Linked DNA regions of Astyanax mexicanus. The protein of the gene in region 1 purifies or fractionates together with the protein of each later gene. This does not show direct contact. Links are inferred from orthologs where the notes say so. Each region holds a gene or a part of one and is shown on either strand. Other genes may lie near its edges.

What was found. Proteins that work in one complex are often made in the same cells at the same time.
Region 2: the proteins of ncl (region 1) and dhx9 purify together in Homo sapiens (affinity purification with western blotting; 3 studies listed by BioGRID, with this or other methods). This does not show direct contact. The link is inferred for Astyanax mexicanus from reciprocal best matches to the Homo sapiens genes NCL and DHX9.

Annotation. Positions count from the first base shown.
Region 1 is NC_064423.1:26,064,989-26,072,236, reverse strand, and holds the start of ncl (nucleolin), read right to left. Parts: upstream 3,054-7,248; 5' UTR 2,928-3,053; coding exon 2,910-2,927; intron 436-2,909; coding exon 334-435; intron 216-333; coding exon 71-215; intron 1-70. UniProt on the Homo sapiens protein: Nucleolin is the major nucleolar protein of growing eukaryotic cells. It is found associated with intranucleolar chromatin and pre-ribosomal particles. It induces chromatin decondensation by binding to histone H1.
Region 2 is NC_064415.1:50,994,839-51,002,672, reverse strand, and holds the start of dhx9 (ATP-dependent RNA helicase A), read right to left. Parts: upstream 3,003-7,834; 5' UTR 2,856-3,002; intron 1,366-2,855; 5' UTR 1,352-1,365; coding exon 1,241-1,351; intron 995-1,240; coding exon 854-994; intron 38-853; coding exon 1-37. Other genes in the region: probable RNA-binding protein 46, read left to right, coding at 5,893-5,995, 6,219-6,556. UniProt on the Homo sapiens protein: Multifunctional ATP-dependent nucleic acid helicase that unwinds DNA and RNA in a 3' to 5' direction and that plays important roles in many processes, such as DNA replication, transcriptional activation, post-transcriptional RNA regulation, mRNA translation and RNA-mediated gene silencing.

The DNA.
Region 1 (7,248 bases):
TTACTGGATAATTTCTTACAATCATGCAAGTATCGTTAAGCAAATCAATCATTCACGTAAAAACACTAACCAGACTCTTCATCATCATCATCATCATCATCTTCGTCGTCGTCATCATCATCCTCACTTTCTTCCTTGGCAACAACTTTACCGTTTTTTACTGCCTTTGCTGGAGTTGCTACAGGTTTCTTGGCAACTGCTTTGACTGGTGGTGCCTGTAGCAAAAAAAATAAAATTAAAATATAATAATAATAATAATAATAATAATAAATAATAATAATCAAGCCAATAAAAAATATTTAAACAAAAAGTAACTTAAAAATAAGACCTTACCTCTTCCTCATCTTCATCACTGTCCTCCTCCTCACTGGACTCTTCAACTTCTTTTGGGGGTGGGGGTGCCTTTTTCTTCTGTGGCACTTCTTTTTTAGCTGCCTGCAAAACATTATGGAATGGAGGCACATGGAAGAAAAGGTTAATCAAAGTGCCAAAAAAAATACAAAATTGTGCAGAAAAGATGAGGAAGTGAGTAAAAATGAGATTCAGTAAAATCACCTATTTAAAGTGGTAACTTTACTAAAGGATTAGAAATTAGAAGTGTGCACCATCATATCAATATTTTTAAAAAGCACTCCATTTTATATTAGTTTTTTTCTGTATTAACTTAATTGTTAGCAGTTTACATGAACCAAATATACTGCTTTTGTTTTGTGAAACATTTGTTGTGTGTTTTTACAAAATAGACATTTATAGTTTTTTTTTGGTTCCTACTGAATGAGAAATTATTATATGTATAACAAATTATGTTTTGATATTTGTTTGGTTGTAGCAGCATATTCATAAACGAATATTTAAAAAGGCAACGTTTTGTCACACTGCTAAGAAGGTCATTATCGCAAAAACATATCGCAAAAACATTTACTATGAATCGTGCTGAAACACATAAAAAGACAGTCATGTTCCTGTGAAGGAAAAGAAGATTTACTATACTATGCGAGACTAAAAGATGTGCCCCAAAACATGCAGAAGTGTCATTTATGTTCCTGCTGAGAATGAGGAATTGCTGTCTAAATCAAGAAGGGTACAAGGACATGTGCTCTAAAATAAAAGTAAAGTAACTTAAATGTGTGTAGAAAATAAGACTTGAAGCCTATACTTTGTTGGTATTGACATAATTGATTTAATCTTAAAATGTTACTCATTTAATAAAAAGTTATCTTATACAGTTTCTGTAGAAAACGAGGATCACACTGTGCTGTTTTATGCATTCATTCATTCATTCATTCTTTTAATACATACTTCACCCCATACATTTATATTTCATTCTGCACTGATTTTGGACTTGATATAACAGTCGACAAACACCAGCAGATGACATGGCTCTCAAAACAATCACTTATTGTGTAAACTTCACACCAGACCTCAAGTAGCTTGGACTGTGCGCCTCTCCACACCTCCTTCAGACTCTGGACCCTTGATTTTCAAATATGTGTCAGTTATGGTTTGGTGAGCCATGTCATCTGCTGATGTTGGTCCAACTTGTAACAGAAACAATCTTATTCAGCTTCTGTAGAAAATGAGGATCACTGTGCTTTTATTTATTCATTCTTTTATATATACATACTTTGCCCCATAGTTTAAATGAGAATAATGATAGGAATCGTCCTTAAATGTACAATAACGTCCTTGTTCATATATATTTTTTTACATTTTACACAAAGGGCGACAAAATGGGTCACTGAAGCAGGGCTACTTTAGTACAGGACCAGTTAACTAATTATTTTTATAGGTAGCTAGATCCTGGACAGACAGAAAAACAACTTAAAAATATATATAAGCGTGCATGTAAAGTAAATATATAGCTTATCTAGCTTTATTATAAGCAAGAACAATAACTACGACCTTATTTAGTCCAAAAACTAAGCTCAAGACTCGCTAATAAGCAGAATGGACGGGTCTAAAAGCCACGTGTGAGGAGGACGAACCCACGTGGGGAGCGCCAGCGCGCGGCCTCGTGCTGAAGCTAACGATGCTAAGCTAACCCAAGTGCTACAGCTAAATTAGCCTAGCTTGGCTAACTCAATGCGGCCTTTCCTGGACGGCTATGCTACGCTGTGAAAAGCTAACTGTATTCTGCACGTTTTCGAATACACCAACTAGTTACCTAGCTTAACGAATTTCCAGGAAAACTAGATTAGGAATTTTACTCTTGTTTTTTATATATAATTTATTGCTCTTAATCTTATATAAATTGCGTCCCAAATAAGCAAGAATAAAATAGATAAACACGGGTAATCTGCGGCTAGCACGTGGCTAATGCTAGCTGGCGTCTTTCAGTTTAGCTCGCCTTGCTAAACTAAGCTAACTAATCTCAGCACAGCTGCGTGCAGCTCCGCCACACTGTAGCTAAAGGCTGTATATGCTATTAAACTAGATTAACACACATTACAGACGCTGTTAAACAGTATTAAAAACCTTTCTATAGCTACCCATATAAAACCAAAAGCCCCAAATATGAGAATTAAATTGCTAATGATAAAAACGTGAGTTAACAGCAGACTGAGGGGAAGGCCATTTCAGCCCTCCAGCCTCCATTTTGCACACTGTAACTACAAGATTTATCAAGCACCCATTTTAAAATATACACCACGCACATTCTATTCTTACATATCACCGATAAACAACCCTACATCATATTTAAGGTAAAAAGCTTAGCTAGTTAATTAATAAGCGCTTGAATAAGATGTTAGTTGGGTTAGCTGGATAAGTCAGATAACTAGTTAGTTATGATACGCCAAACTGAGTACCTCATTTATTCACCACGTTTTATTATGGTTAGCTACCAGAAACAACAATACTATATTTACATACATATTAAATTAAATTAGAATACTAGTTATAACACTCACCTTCGCCAGCTTCACCATGACTGCGTGGTGTTTCGTCGAAACACGAAAAAACCCGAATAAACTGCTGTAAAGTCTGCAGTGTGCTCAGGCTGGTTCCACGTGTTTCACTCTGCAGTCGCTTCAGCTCTGAGAATGAAACTCAACACTCCGCCGCTTTTCTGTACAGGGGGATTTTTCCATTCACACCCGTATTCAGGAACCGCACCGCCCATCCTTCGTTCGGATTGGTCACTTATTCAGACTCAGAGCGACCCGCCGACAATTTCAGCTAATCACAGTGATGGAAGGCGGGATTTGTCTGAATACAGGTGCAACAAAACCACGCGTCTCCTCCCATACAAAACCATGCATATATTCAAACATACCAGTAGCAGAATGAAGAACCAAGCTAAACATAAAACATACAACATAGAAGCCCCAGTGACTAACAGTGACACGGATAACTCCCTTAGAGATGGGAGAAAAAAACTTGGGAGGAACAAAGACTCATAAGGGGGACACATCTTCCTCTTGTCGGACTACTTATAAATTAATGACAAAAATTCCTAGAAAGACCAGAGTTTACCAAGTTCCTTTGATCTTCCATAAAACTAATTCAGTTTATAATTTACTTGTATTTGCCTAGCAGCACTTGAGAACTTCTTCTAAACATGGCTATTTGGTGAATTAAATAATAGAACGATTATTTAATAGCGATCCTTTAGATTGCAGTACTGCAATACTGCAATTTCATTGAGGCGAGCAGCTTCGCCGCCCACATTTGAGCTCCCGGATTCTTCTACTCATCTTCTCCCTCTCTCTGATGTTGATTGCTAAGACTGAACATGAAAAACACGCCCCTTAATTATCATATGGAGGAAAAAAAGCAGAAATAAATGAGTGAAAAAGAATAAATAAACAAATAAATACATACATCAAAATACATTTAGAAATATTCTCATGAAAAACTATATAGGCATTAATTATATTAATTATACAATAAATCATACATAAATCAAATCAAATCAGATTTATTGTCGCATCACATACAGTGGAGAGGTGAGCTTCCACAGCAGTGGAGCTGAATCCAAGGGAACGTTTAAGCACCAGGTTATCATATTTATTTTATTTGTGCCACTTCATGTTAGGCATGTAAGGAACCACATGGGTGATTTCAGTCAGTACAAACACTCTTATGAAGCCAGGATTGCAGAGGGGGCGCTGTAGTCACCGCATAACTTCTGTGAATCAGTGGTGACAGTACCAGAGCCAGTTTCACTACAAGGTGTTGGACTTCTGACTGTTTAATATAAGCTTAATGTGGCAGGACTAATTATTTCTAATAATAATAATAATAATAATAATAATAATAATAATAATAATAATAATAATAATTTGGGGGTACCTTTTTTTGTTAATGTTTGGTAGTATTAATTTAAATATTTTAGAATTATGATTACCGGGTGGTTGATGTGAGTTAGTTATTTGGGGCTCCTATAAAAGGGCTTCTTTTTGCATGCTGCAGCGTCTGCCTTGGGTTCCCCCCTCCCCCTTCCGCTTCACCGCGTGGCTCAGAGGTATGTTTGGCTTTGTGTGTGAGGGAGAAACGCACGTGTAAGTCGGCGTTTAGTTAATTTATTTGTTTTATTTAGAGCGTTTTGTTGCTGTCTCATCCTCTGAAACTGCACTCGAGTCTGGCTTATCCCAGTTCTCAGGTAAATGCTCCGTATATGCAGCGTAATTTGGTAGTATAGCGCTGTACCCGTGAGTTACTGTTTGTTTTGGTTTCAGTTTAACTCCTCAGTGGGAATTGTTGGCGTCTGACCAATTGTAACGCTGCCTGACGGCATTTTCATCAGCTCTGTAAGTATACGAACCGCTTATCTAGTCAGGGGGTAGTAAAATGGGTTTAAACTTTATATTTATGCCTTCTGTGTTTTTAATTTAGCGGGTCCAGCCGATCTGGTGTGATTACTGGCTGTTGCATGAAGATAGCATCCTGTAACGGTGAAATAAGCTGCCGTTTTGCCTCCAGCGAAGTTTAATGAAGCTCTAAGACACTTTTATTCTCTTAAGTGTGTTGCTAACTGTGGTGGGAACCTATATCATTCTGTGCTGAATTATCGGACTGCAGCTTGTGCTCATGCACACTGTTTTATAGCTGAAAAGCTCTACTCTTACTTACTTACTATTTGTTTATAAAACTCCGTCTACTATCAGTGCAACTATATTACACCTGTGGTGTATGCATTGTTATTTTTGTGCACTGATGCTTCCTCTGTAAATTGTTTGCTGTGTGCAATAGTTAATCCAATCTAAACTGTATTTTGAGCCATTGTATTGTGGTCCTTTTTATATTTCTGATTTTATTTGGTAGTTGTGGAGTAGGTGCATGAGGGATCCAGGAGGGGAGATTTAAGTATTATTTTCACTTTGCTTTACTGGTTGGGATTTGATTTATTTTCTGGCACGGGTGACTTTTGTTGTGATTTTGATATTTTTTTTTAGTTAAATTTTGGCCCCCACCTGGTGAGCTTCAGCCCTACAACAATTAAAATGAGCTTCTTTGTAATTTCTTAACTCAAATGACCTGTGGTTGATTTTAATGTGTTTTTGAGCATTGAGTGGTTCTGGTGATATTAATATTAAAATTTTCTCTGTTTTGCAGCCGTGTGTATCTGTCTATCTATCTGTCTATCTATCTGTCTATCTATCTGTCTATCTATCTGTCTATCTATCTATTGTTTTATTTTATTTTTTATAAGCCTATTTTGATTAATAAAATCTTTTTGGTTAATTGAAATCCTTGTCTTTGTACTTTCTGGTACCCACGAACCTGAAGTGTTAAATTTCTTTGGGTGCAATTCCCAAAGTGGCGTAGTTGGCTGCACTGGTGTAAGGGTAACTAAGGTATTTACATAGTTTAGGTAAATTAATTATTTTTATTAAGTCCTACCGCTCGCTCCCCCGCCACATTAAGCTCAACCTATCACATACATATGACACTTCTGATAGGAAATTGAGGCCTCAGGAAAATCAGTTCAAGAAAAAATCCAAGGCTATATGATCCAATGGAGTTTGGTCTGATTGAGTTTGATTTAAGAGAGTTTGTTCTGTGGGAGTTTTGTCCAAGGCTTTTTGGTCTGACAGAGTTTGGTCTGAAAAAGTCAAAGTCAAAGTCAAAGTGGTCAAAGTGGTTTTTATTGTCATTTCAGCTATATACAGAGTACACAGTGAAACGAAACAACGTTCCTCCAGGGACCATGGTGCACATAAACACAGTGTAGACAGAAATAGTGCAACAGTACAAAAGTGCAGACAGACAATACAACACAATACAAACAAAGAATAATAAATAACAAGACAGTGTGCAAATTATGCAGTGTGCAAAAAGTGTGCAAAAAAGACCAGTGAGGTAGTAATTACCTCTATTACACAGTGTGCAATAGAGTCCAGTGAGGTAGTAGGGTTTTTAGTGCTTTCCATTTTCTGGGGTAAGTGGGGTAAGAGTGTGTGTGCATGTACAGAAAAACCATCAGTTCAGTCTCTGCAGTTGAGGAGTCTGATGGCTTGGGGGTAGAAGCTGTTGCAGAATCTGGTCGTGCTGGACCGGATGCTGCGGTACCTTCTTCCCGAAGGCAGGAGGGAGAACAGTCTGTGTGAAGGATGGGTGGGGTCATTCACAATGCTGGTTGCTTTGCGGATGCTGCGGGTGGTGTAAATGTCCGTGATGGAGGGGAGAGAGACGCCGGTGATCCTCTCAGCTGTCCTCACAATACGCTGGAGGGTCTTGCGGTCAGAGACGGTGCAGGTCCCAAACCAGGCAGTGATGCAGCTGCTCAGGATGCTCTCAATGGTCCCTCTATAGAAGAGTGTGAGGATGGGTGGAGGGAGAAGCTTGGTGTGAGGTAGAGCTTAGATTCTCTGCCCGAACTGAGATTTCCCACCACTTGCCTCGGTCCAGGTCAGGTCGGGTTCCAGAAAATAGTCTGTGACATAGGCATCTGCTTTGAATGCTATTTTTATTTTATATAAAGCTATGGAGTGATAATCACAATATAGCAAAGTAATCAAGTATTATTGTTAACGAAAACAAACGAAAAAAGCTAAAAGTGAAAAAAACATTTTTGTTAACTAAAACTAAGAAAAACAGTAATTAAAAGAAAAAAACATAACTAATTGAAAATGTGTTTTGTGTTTATAAAACTAACTAAAAGGAACTGAAATTACAGATAGAATACTCTTCGCTTTCGTGTTTGTTAATTTATTTATAAGAGCTGTTTCCACTTCAGCAATTTTACAGCGATTTGGTCTGAAGAAGCTTGGTGTGAGGGAGTTTTATCCCAGTCTTTTTGGTCTG
Region 2 (7,834 bases), on another chromosome or scaffold:
CTGAACTGCTGCAATCAGGTACATCTGGAACACTGGCCTGGTAACAGGAGGGATGACATCAAAATATATAAATATATTAAAGAATAGGAATTGAGACACCTATATAGTCTTAACAGCATTTACAAATGCAATTTTTTTGCCAATTTTTAAGTTATTTTACATTGCCAAGTGTAATGACAACATTTATTTCAACTTTATTAATGCAAATATTCAGCAGTAACACCGACATTAGTGCTTGGCTGTATGACCAAAAATGTATATCACAGTATTTTTCAAGATTCTGACGATTTAACAAATAAATTAAATTCTGTGTACATTATCATCATTCTTCAAGCTGCAGTATTATTATATTTAAAATGGCTATATTAACAGTTCTTGAAGCTTTTTTTTCCACCTCATATCCAAAGTTTTAGGGAGTTTTATCACTTGTGCTGAATAAATTATTCTGTACCCACAACCGATTTTGGGCTCCTCTGGGGGACGAGAGAAACTTTTTTCCAAGCTGTGGATCGGTTGCTCAATTCCATTCCTCTCTTTTTTGAGTAAATAATTGCTGTTTGCTGTTGTTTTCTTATTTTACTCAGACAAAAACACTGCTATTGCAAGGAACAGCAACAGGAGCTCCTTAGATAAAGTGCTGTTCTCATGTTTTTCCAGAGAGGACAGAGCGTTTGACTCGACAGAGCTGAGCTACCATTAACCCAGTGTGTTAGCTTGTTATGCTAACTGGCTAGGTTAGTTAGCGGGTCGTATCTGCTTTTTTGCCAGTGCCTAGTGGTATGTAAAAAGCGCATATCGGCAAACCAGTATACTGTCCAGCACAAACTGACATGGTTAACAAAATCATACTTACCCCTAAAGCAGGGACTTCAGAAGCACTCATCTCACCAATACGGACAAGATAATTCACAAAGTCCCTGGCAGCATTAGACTGGGCATCTTTCTTGTTGGTGGAGTTTCCCATTCCAGTGTAATTAAAACCATCAACACGTACCTAAATGAGGCACAAAAAAAAGAGAAAAAAAAAATGTTGATCTTTGAAACATTCTAAACGTGTAATCTCATTACATTATCATTATGTCCGTAGCATAAAATGCTTTTTATAGTTTAACAATTATTTCTGAGACAATATAATTCACAATATAATTATGGTGACAGGCCTGCAAGAGAATAGACATAATAAGTATTAAGTACAGAGTTGCTATAACAGTCAATGTGTAACAGGTATCGTGTAGTTTACCTCACACAGGAACTTTTGTCTGTTTTTATTCCCAGCTGCTCGTATGTCATAGTTTGGTGTTAATTTTTTCTTTCCGCACCAGGCATACAGATAGTTTTTGATGTCTGCCATTGTTGAGAGTCCCCCTGGAAACATACAAAAGATATCATTTTAGATATCATTCACAAAACTTAGATAAACTATGCTGTCTGGAAAAAAATAAATGACACCTCCTACAAATAGGTAGGAACTTCCCAATGGATAATTACTACATGGGTGATTATGTCAGTAGGTTCTTATTTGTTGAACAACCGTGGTTATGCAGTGGTCCCAATCTCTTATCATCAATACAAGATCTTCTGGAAAAACAAATGCAACTCAAATAAACAAATAGTAAATGTTGTGACATTACAGAAGTTTGTGGAAAGATACCAAAAGTTTGGACATGTTATCATACAATGTTTTTCTTTACTTCTGTATTTCATTTATTTTTTACATTGTAGATTAATATTAAATACATGAAAACATTTAAGGGACATATATGGAATTACGAAGTAATTAAAAAACGTGTCTTCCACAATCCCCTGACCAAAACCTGATGAACTGAGATGGTGATTTGAGGTGATTTGGGATGAGCTGGAGCTTCACAGCCAGCGTGAAGGAAAAGCAGCAACTATTGTGCAGCAACTATTGTTCAGCACCTCTAGGAACTCCTTTAAGACGCTAAAAAAAACTATTCCAGATGACTCTCCCTCATGAAGTAGCTGAGATTAAAATTCCAAGAGTGTGCAGATCTGTCTTAAATTTTATAAATAAAAAATAAATCATAAATTTGATACTTAGGAGAATCTAAAGTATAAAACATTTTATAGTTGTTTAACACTATTTGTTTACAAAATAATTTTGCAGGCGTTCCAGTATAGCTTTAATACAGTTTTTAATATTAATTTTTCAATGTACAAAAAAAAAAAACGAACTGAATGAGAAAAGGTCTCGAAACTTTTAGCTAGGTCTTAACCAGCTAACGTTAGGTTAACTACGTTAGCTAGCCTAGCGTAGCTAGAACATCTCAGCCAGATACGTTTGGGTTTGCTAGCTTAGCTAGTTAACTAGCTAGTAAGATTAATGGTGTTCTGTCGATTTAGGGTAAAGCTGCCCAAATGAAGGATACTTCCATTGGCTAAACAAAAATCACAAAAAATGATTTAAATCACTTATCAGGAGAAATTGTCTTGAAAAAAAACTCACATAAAAACGTTAACATTTCTAAATCGATGTATGCGCAGAACAGAAAGTAACACATTTTGATGGGTAAAAGAACTCGACAAAACACCGGCTAACATAATAGCAGTATATAACTCAAAACCACAGCACTGTACTGTACTAACTGCAGAAATAGCACGATGATGAAGTCGCGCAATATAGGTTAACTAATACTTGCAGGACCACCAGTAAATAAACAATAAAAACATCATTAACTAACACTAGCTAGGTAACTGTATAAGAAAGAACAGCGCTTGCTAAAGAGCTAAAGCTAACCACAGAACACAGTGCAGACAGACGGAGTGTACTGTACTGTTTACGGTGCTGGCAATACTCAACACGCAGTCAGAACTAGTTCCGCCGGATAACTCACCTCCTCAGCAGGTATCTTGCTGAAACACAGAGCGGAAAATTAACACAAAATAGCTGAGAAAGGTCGCTAATCTCAGCGCTGCGGTGCAGGGCGCAGCGTCGTCAGCGGGCCAGACATGCGCAGTACAGCTCCACTTTGTAATGAGAAACATAGTACGCATGCGCAGTAAAAATTCCTGGCTAGATCAGTAAAAGGCTGCGAGCCACTAGAGGAAGCCCGCGATAGAGAACCCATATTAAATAGAGTGAATTAATTTATGAGATTAAAACTGATATAAACTTTTCAATCTGAATTTTGAAGCTATATCTAAATTCAATTTACTTAACATTTACCAAGATGGATTCACATATTTGAATTTTTGTTTTTGATTAGATTTTTGTGTTTTAAACTAACTTCTGAGGAGGTAAAATTTGCTGTTGAAAAAAAAAACAATGTGAATTAATTAATTAATTATTGAATAATTTAAAAAAATCTATATCCATACATTTTCAGATAAAAAAAATCAGTTTTTTTTTCTGATTTTAAAAAGATCCACTTTTATTTTTTTTTCTAATTGAAATCTCAGTCACTCAAGTTTACTTTTTCCTGGGGACCCTGGGTGTTTGAGCTATGGATTAAATTCTTAATTCTGAATTTTGAATCAGATAGATCTTAAATTTTAAAAATAAAAATAAATATTTCACGTTGATTAAAGGTCAAGTAAACCAAATTCAGATATACAAAATTTAGACGTGAATTATGTCATCCTTTAAGCTCCATATGAATGAAGCTAGATTGCTAAAAGTCTTATTTAAAATAGAAACTATTTAAACTTTTAGTTTCTAGTCACATTTTTTTAGACTAGTTAATTATTATAATTTCTATAATTTGATGTACAAGCTCAGTATACATTACTGTAAAAACTCTTATTTGAGATATCAGCTTTAAATGTTTTACTAGTGATAATATCATATCTATGGATCTATACATTTATTCTTACTAGTTATACTTTATGTTACAATTAATTTACATGGTCTCAGAGCTTTATGCTAGACATATTACTACATTTAATTATTATTCATTATTTACTAGAAAAAAAAATACTAGAAATACAGTTACAGATATCTATAATATCTATAGTAAAAATACTATAATAGAATAGAATAATCTGATATTCCTATAATTAAACGTTTAGAACATGTAAACAATTATTATTATTATTATTATTATTATTATTATTATTATTATTATTATTATTATTATTATTATTATTATTTCTACAATGCAAGAACACAGTACAGGCTATAATATTAGAATATAAACGTATATAAGCATGTAATATGTGTTGGTAAGACTGCAGGTGTGCCGCTGGTTTTAATATTCAGTTAATTTAGTTGAACCTGATTTGCTGGCTGATCTGGAGGACTTTAGTTAGTTAAGGTTTATAGTTACCAGGGGGATCTCAGCTTTAAACCTACAGAAACTGGAGAACAGGTAGCCCAGATTACTAGTTAGCTACCAAATAACCAAAAAATAATAATTAGCTACTTGTTTAGGGAAAAAGGCGAATTTCTGCGCCGCCTACTTTTTTCTATAAAGTTTTTTTTATAGCTAAAAGCTAAAAAACTAATGCTAGGTTCGCTAAACTGATCATCAAAATCATTAAGTGGCTTAGCTAATATTGTTTCAAATAAAGAACATTTTATTGGGTATCTATAATCTCCTAACTGCCTGAATTTATGTTTCTTGGTGAGTTGGATAACCTGTGGTGTCGTATTTCTGAATATTATAGTTAGCTAGGTGATCAGGTAGGTTACCTAGTGCCTGACGTTAGCTGGCTAACTAGTTAGGAGAACTGGCTAGGCTGGTTAGCTTTAGGTTACCTAGTGAACGAGCGTTAGCCTAGCTAGCTAGCGTTGCTAAATTACCTCAGCTTAGCCAACAGCGGTGCTTGGCGGCTAAGGGCGACACTGCTGAACATTTTTTAGTCAATTTTATGAAATAATTGGTGGATTTAAACATGTCTAAGGGAGAGTGGGGTTAGATGAGCCAGTTTTTACTTAGTAAAAGTGAGTTTAAAGGAAGGCCATGACTGTTATGCTTCCAACTAAAATATATATATAAGTTATTATTATAGCTCATTATTTTATTATATAAACTACGGACAACATTTCTCCCAAATTCCAAATAAAAAAAAAATTATAGCATTTATTTGCAGAAAATGCGAAATGCCTGAAATAACAAAAAAAGATGCAGAGCTTTTAGACCCCAAAAATGCAAAGAAAAAGAGTTCAGAAATCAATATTTGGCGAATAACCCTGGTTTTTAATTACAGTTTTCATGCATCTTGGCATGTTCTCCTCTCAAGCAGTTCAGATGGCTTGTGATTATCAATTGCTTAATGCATCATCCTATTAAAAAAATTGATTTTAATGTTTTTTATATACTGACAAGGGTGGTAAACTTTATTTTTCCACAGCATGTTAAATTTACTTTGTACAGGAGTATTTATTAGGTATTACTAATGTGGAATTAACTTTAGCCATGACTACATCAGATAAATCAGATAAATAATAAGATACCACAGCTACAGTTATTTACATATCCATTTTTATGTCATCTACTTAATTAAAAGGAAAAATAAGCTGGGTACTTGATTTGAGTTAACAAATATCTGTTTTACAAAGGATCTAGATAGTTGTATTAAATGAATACATGTTTGTATAATGCATTGACATTTATAAAGTTGAAAAGTAATTTCAGAATCTATGAAACAAAGCTCTTACCTTGCCGATACAGTTTAATATTGTCTGTCATTATGGTTATTTGATTATATTTAATCAGATGTAGGTTTGTTAAAACTGTAAGAACTCATAACTCTTATTATAGTTTATTTGTATTGTTGGTTCTTAAATGGATGTTTACCTATTTGATATTAAACTATTAAAAATGATTATGAGTGCTTAAGTACTGTGTGTACTTAATTGACGTTTCTGTTGTATTTTCTAAGGTGCTAGGGGAAGAAGGCTGTGTTTGTCATCTTCACCAAGACATTAAGATGGAAAGCCCAAAGATAGCTAATCTTCTGGCCCTAATGGATAAAACAGGTTACGGTATGGTTCAAGAAAATGGTCAACGGAAATTTGGGGGTCCACCACCAGGTAAGAATTTAATGATTTTTAGTAACCTAAAAAATAAAAATAAATAAATAAAACCTCTTGATGTGGGATTAAGAACAGGAGTTAGCTCGTTTGCACCTGTGGTTAAATGTTGAGTTACTAGCCTTTGCTTTCAAATGCAATATATTAATATGTATAACATTCCTAAAATATTTTTTACTATTCAAATGTCTCATATGAACAAAAATATGATTCTGTGTTCTAGACTGGGAAGGTCCCCCTCCTCCGAGAGGCTGTGAGATTTTTGTGGGGAAAATTCCCAGGGACATGTATGAAGACGAGCTGGTGCCTTTGTTTGAACGTGCAGGTTGTATCTATGAGTTCCGCTTGATGATGGAGTTTAGCGGGGAAAACCGTGGCTATGCCTTTGTCAGGTACACCACTCCAGAAGCTGCGCAGCAAGCCATTTATCTGCTTGACCACTATGAGATCCGTCCCGGGAAGTTTATAGGAGTGTGTGTGAGTCTAAACAACTGTCGGCTCTTCATTGGGTCCATTCCAAAAGACATGAAGAAGGAGGAGATACAAGAGGAAATGATGAAGGTCAGTGATTTAGAAGTTAGGAGAGAGAGCTTTGGTTTTATTTATCTATGGTAAATATGCAATCATGTATGGATTATAGTTCATTGTTTAAAGTTAAAATGTTACCCATCATAATTTTGGAGAAAACAGAGTTTTAGTTCAGTACTTGAAAACCACAAGCCATTCTATTTTTTCTCTATTCCATTTTTTTAAAAAGAGGATTACCAGATCCTACAATCTTGTATGTTTTTGGGTACATGCTTTATTGCCACTAATGATGCACTGTAATGGAAATTTGTCTGCCTGAACATGTCTGAAATTGAACAAAATACCTAATTCCCTTTTTATAGGTTTATATGTATATGTTTTGCCACTATTCTCAAAAGGCTAAATTTATTTTATAGATACTTTTCAGAAAAAAGATAATTAAAACGCTTTAACATCCTAGCAGAGACACTTTGATGTCTTTTCTGAAAGTAAAGCAATCTAAAGGAAACACTGCAATATGACCTACAATAAATGAGCTATTGTTTGCTATAAATTATTCAGTACTTTTAGTTTTAGTTTTGGTTGCCAGTATTTGGTGCATTAATATTTACCTCTATTTGTTTGTTTGTCATATCTCACATCGATCTCCTGTAAAGTGCTTTGTAAGCTTCTTTGAGTGTAATAAATAGAAAGTGGGCTTCGTTTTTTTGCCTCATTAGCTTTCCGAAAATACAGATTTAAGCAAGATAAATCTTAACTTGCTATAGATAAACAATGTCATGTAAAACAGAACAGTTTAAGGTGAATATTTTCATTTCAGCTGTTAGCTTGAAAACTTGCACTGGACTTATTGCGAAGGGGGGTGTTTAAGAGATTTGATGGTTTTAGTAAAAAACTACTGTACAATTTGGCTGTACAATGATTTAATATCAGTATATATCACAATATCAAATATTTCAATAAAGGTGATATGATTTGTAAAAACATTTCCGATATTTCAGTATGCATTTTTACTGCATATAGTCATGAATTGATGCTCATTACAGGGCACATTACAATTTCAAATGATTTTTTTTGTTTGTTTATAGTGATATTGGAATTGCAATTTAGCATTTAACATTAAGAAATATTTATTATAATATACTTGTTGTCAATTTCGCCCATTCCTACTGAAGATAGGAATGTTTATGAAAACAATGTATAGACTTTTTGTAGGATTGTTGTCTCGTTTTTAAATGCAGTTACTATTTAAGGTCAGTAAGAAAAGGTCACCTGTTTAATCGTTTGCACTGTGTTGTAATTCATCAGCTG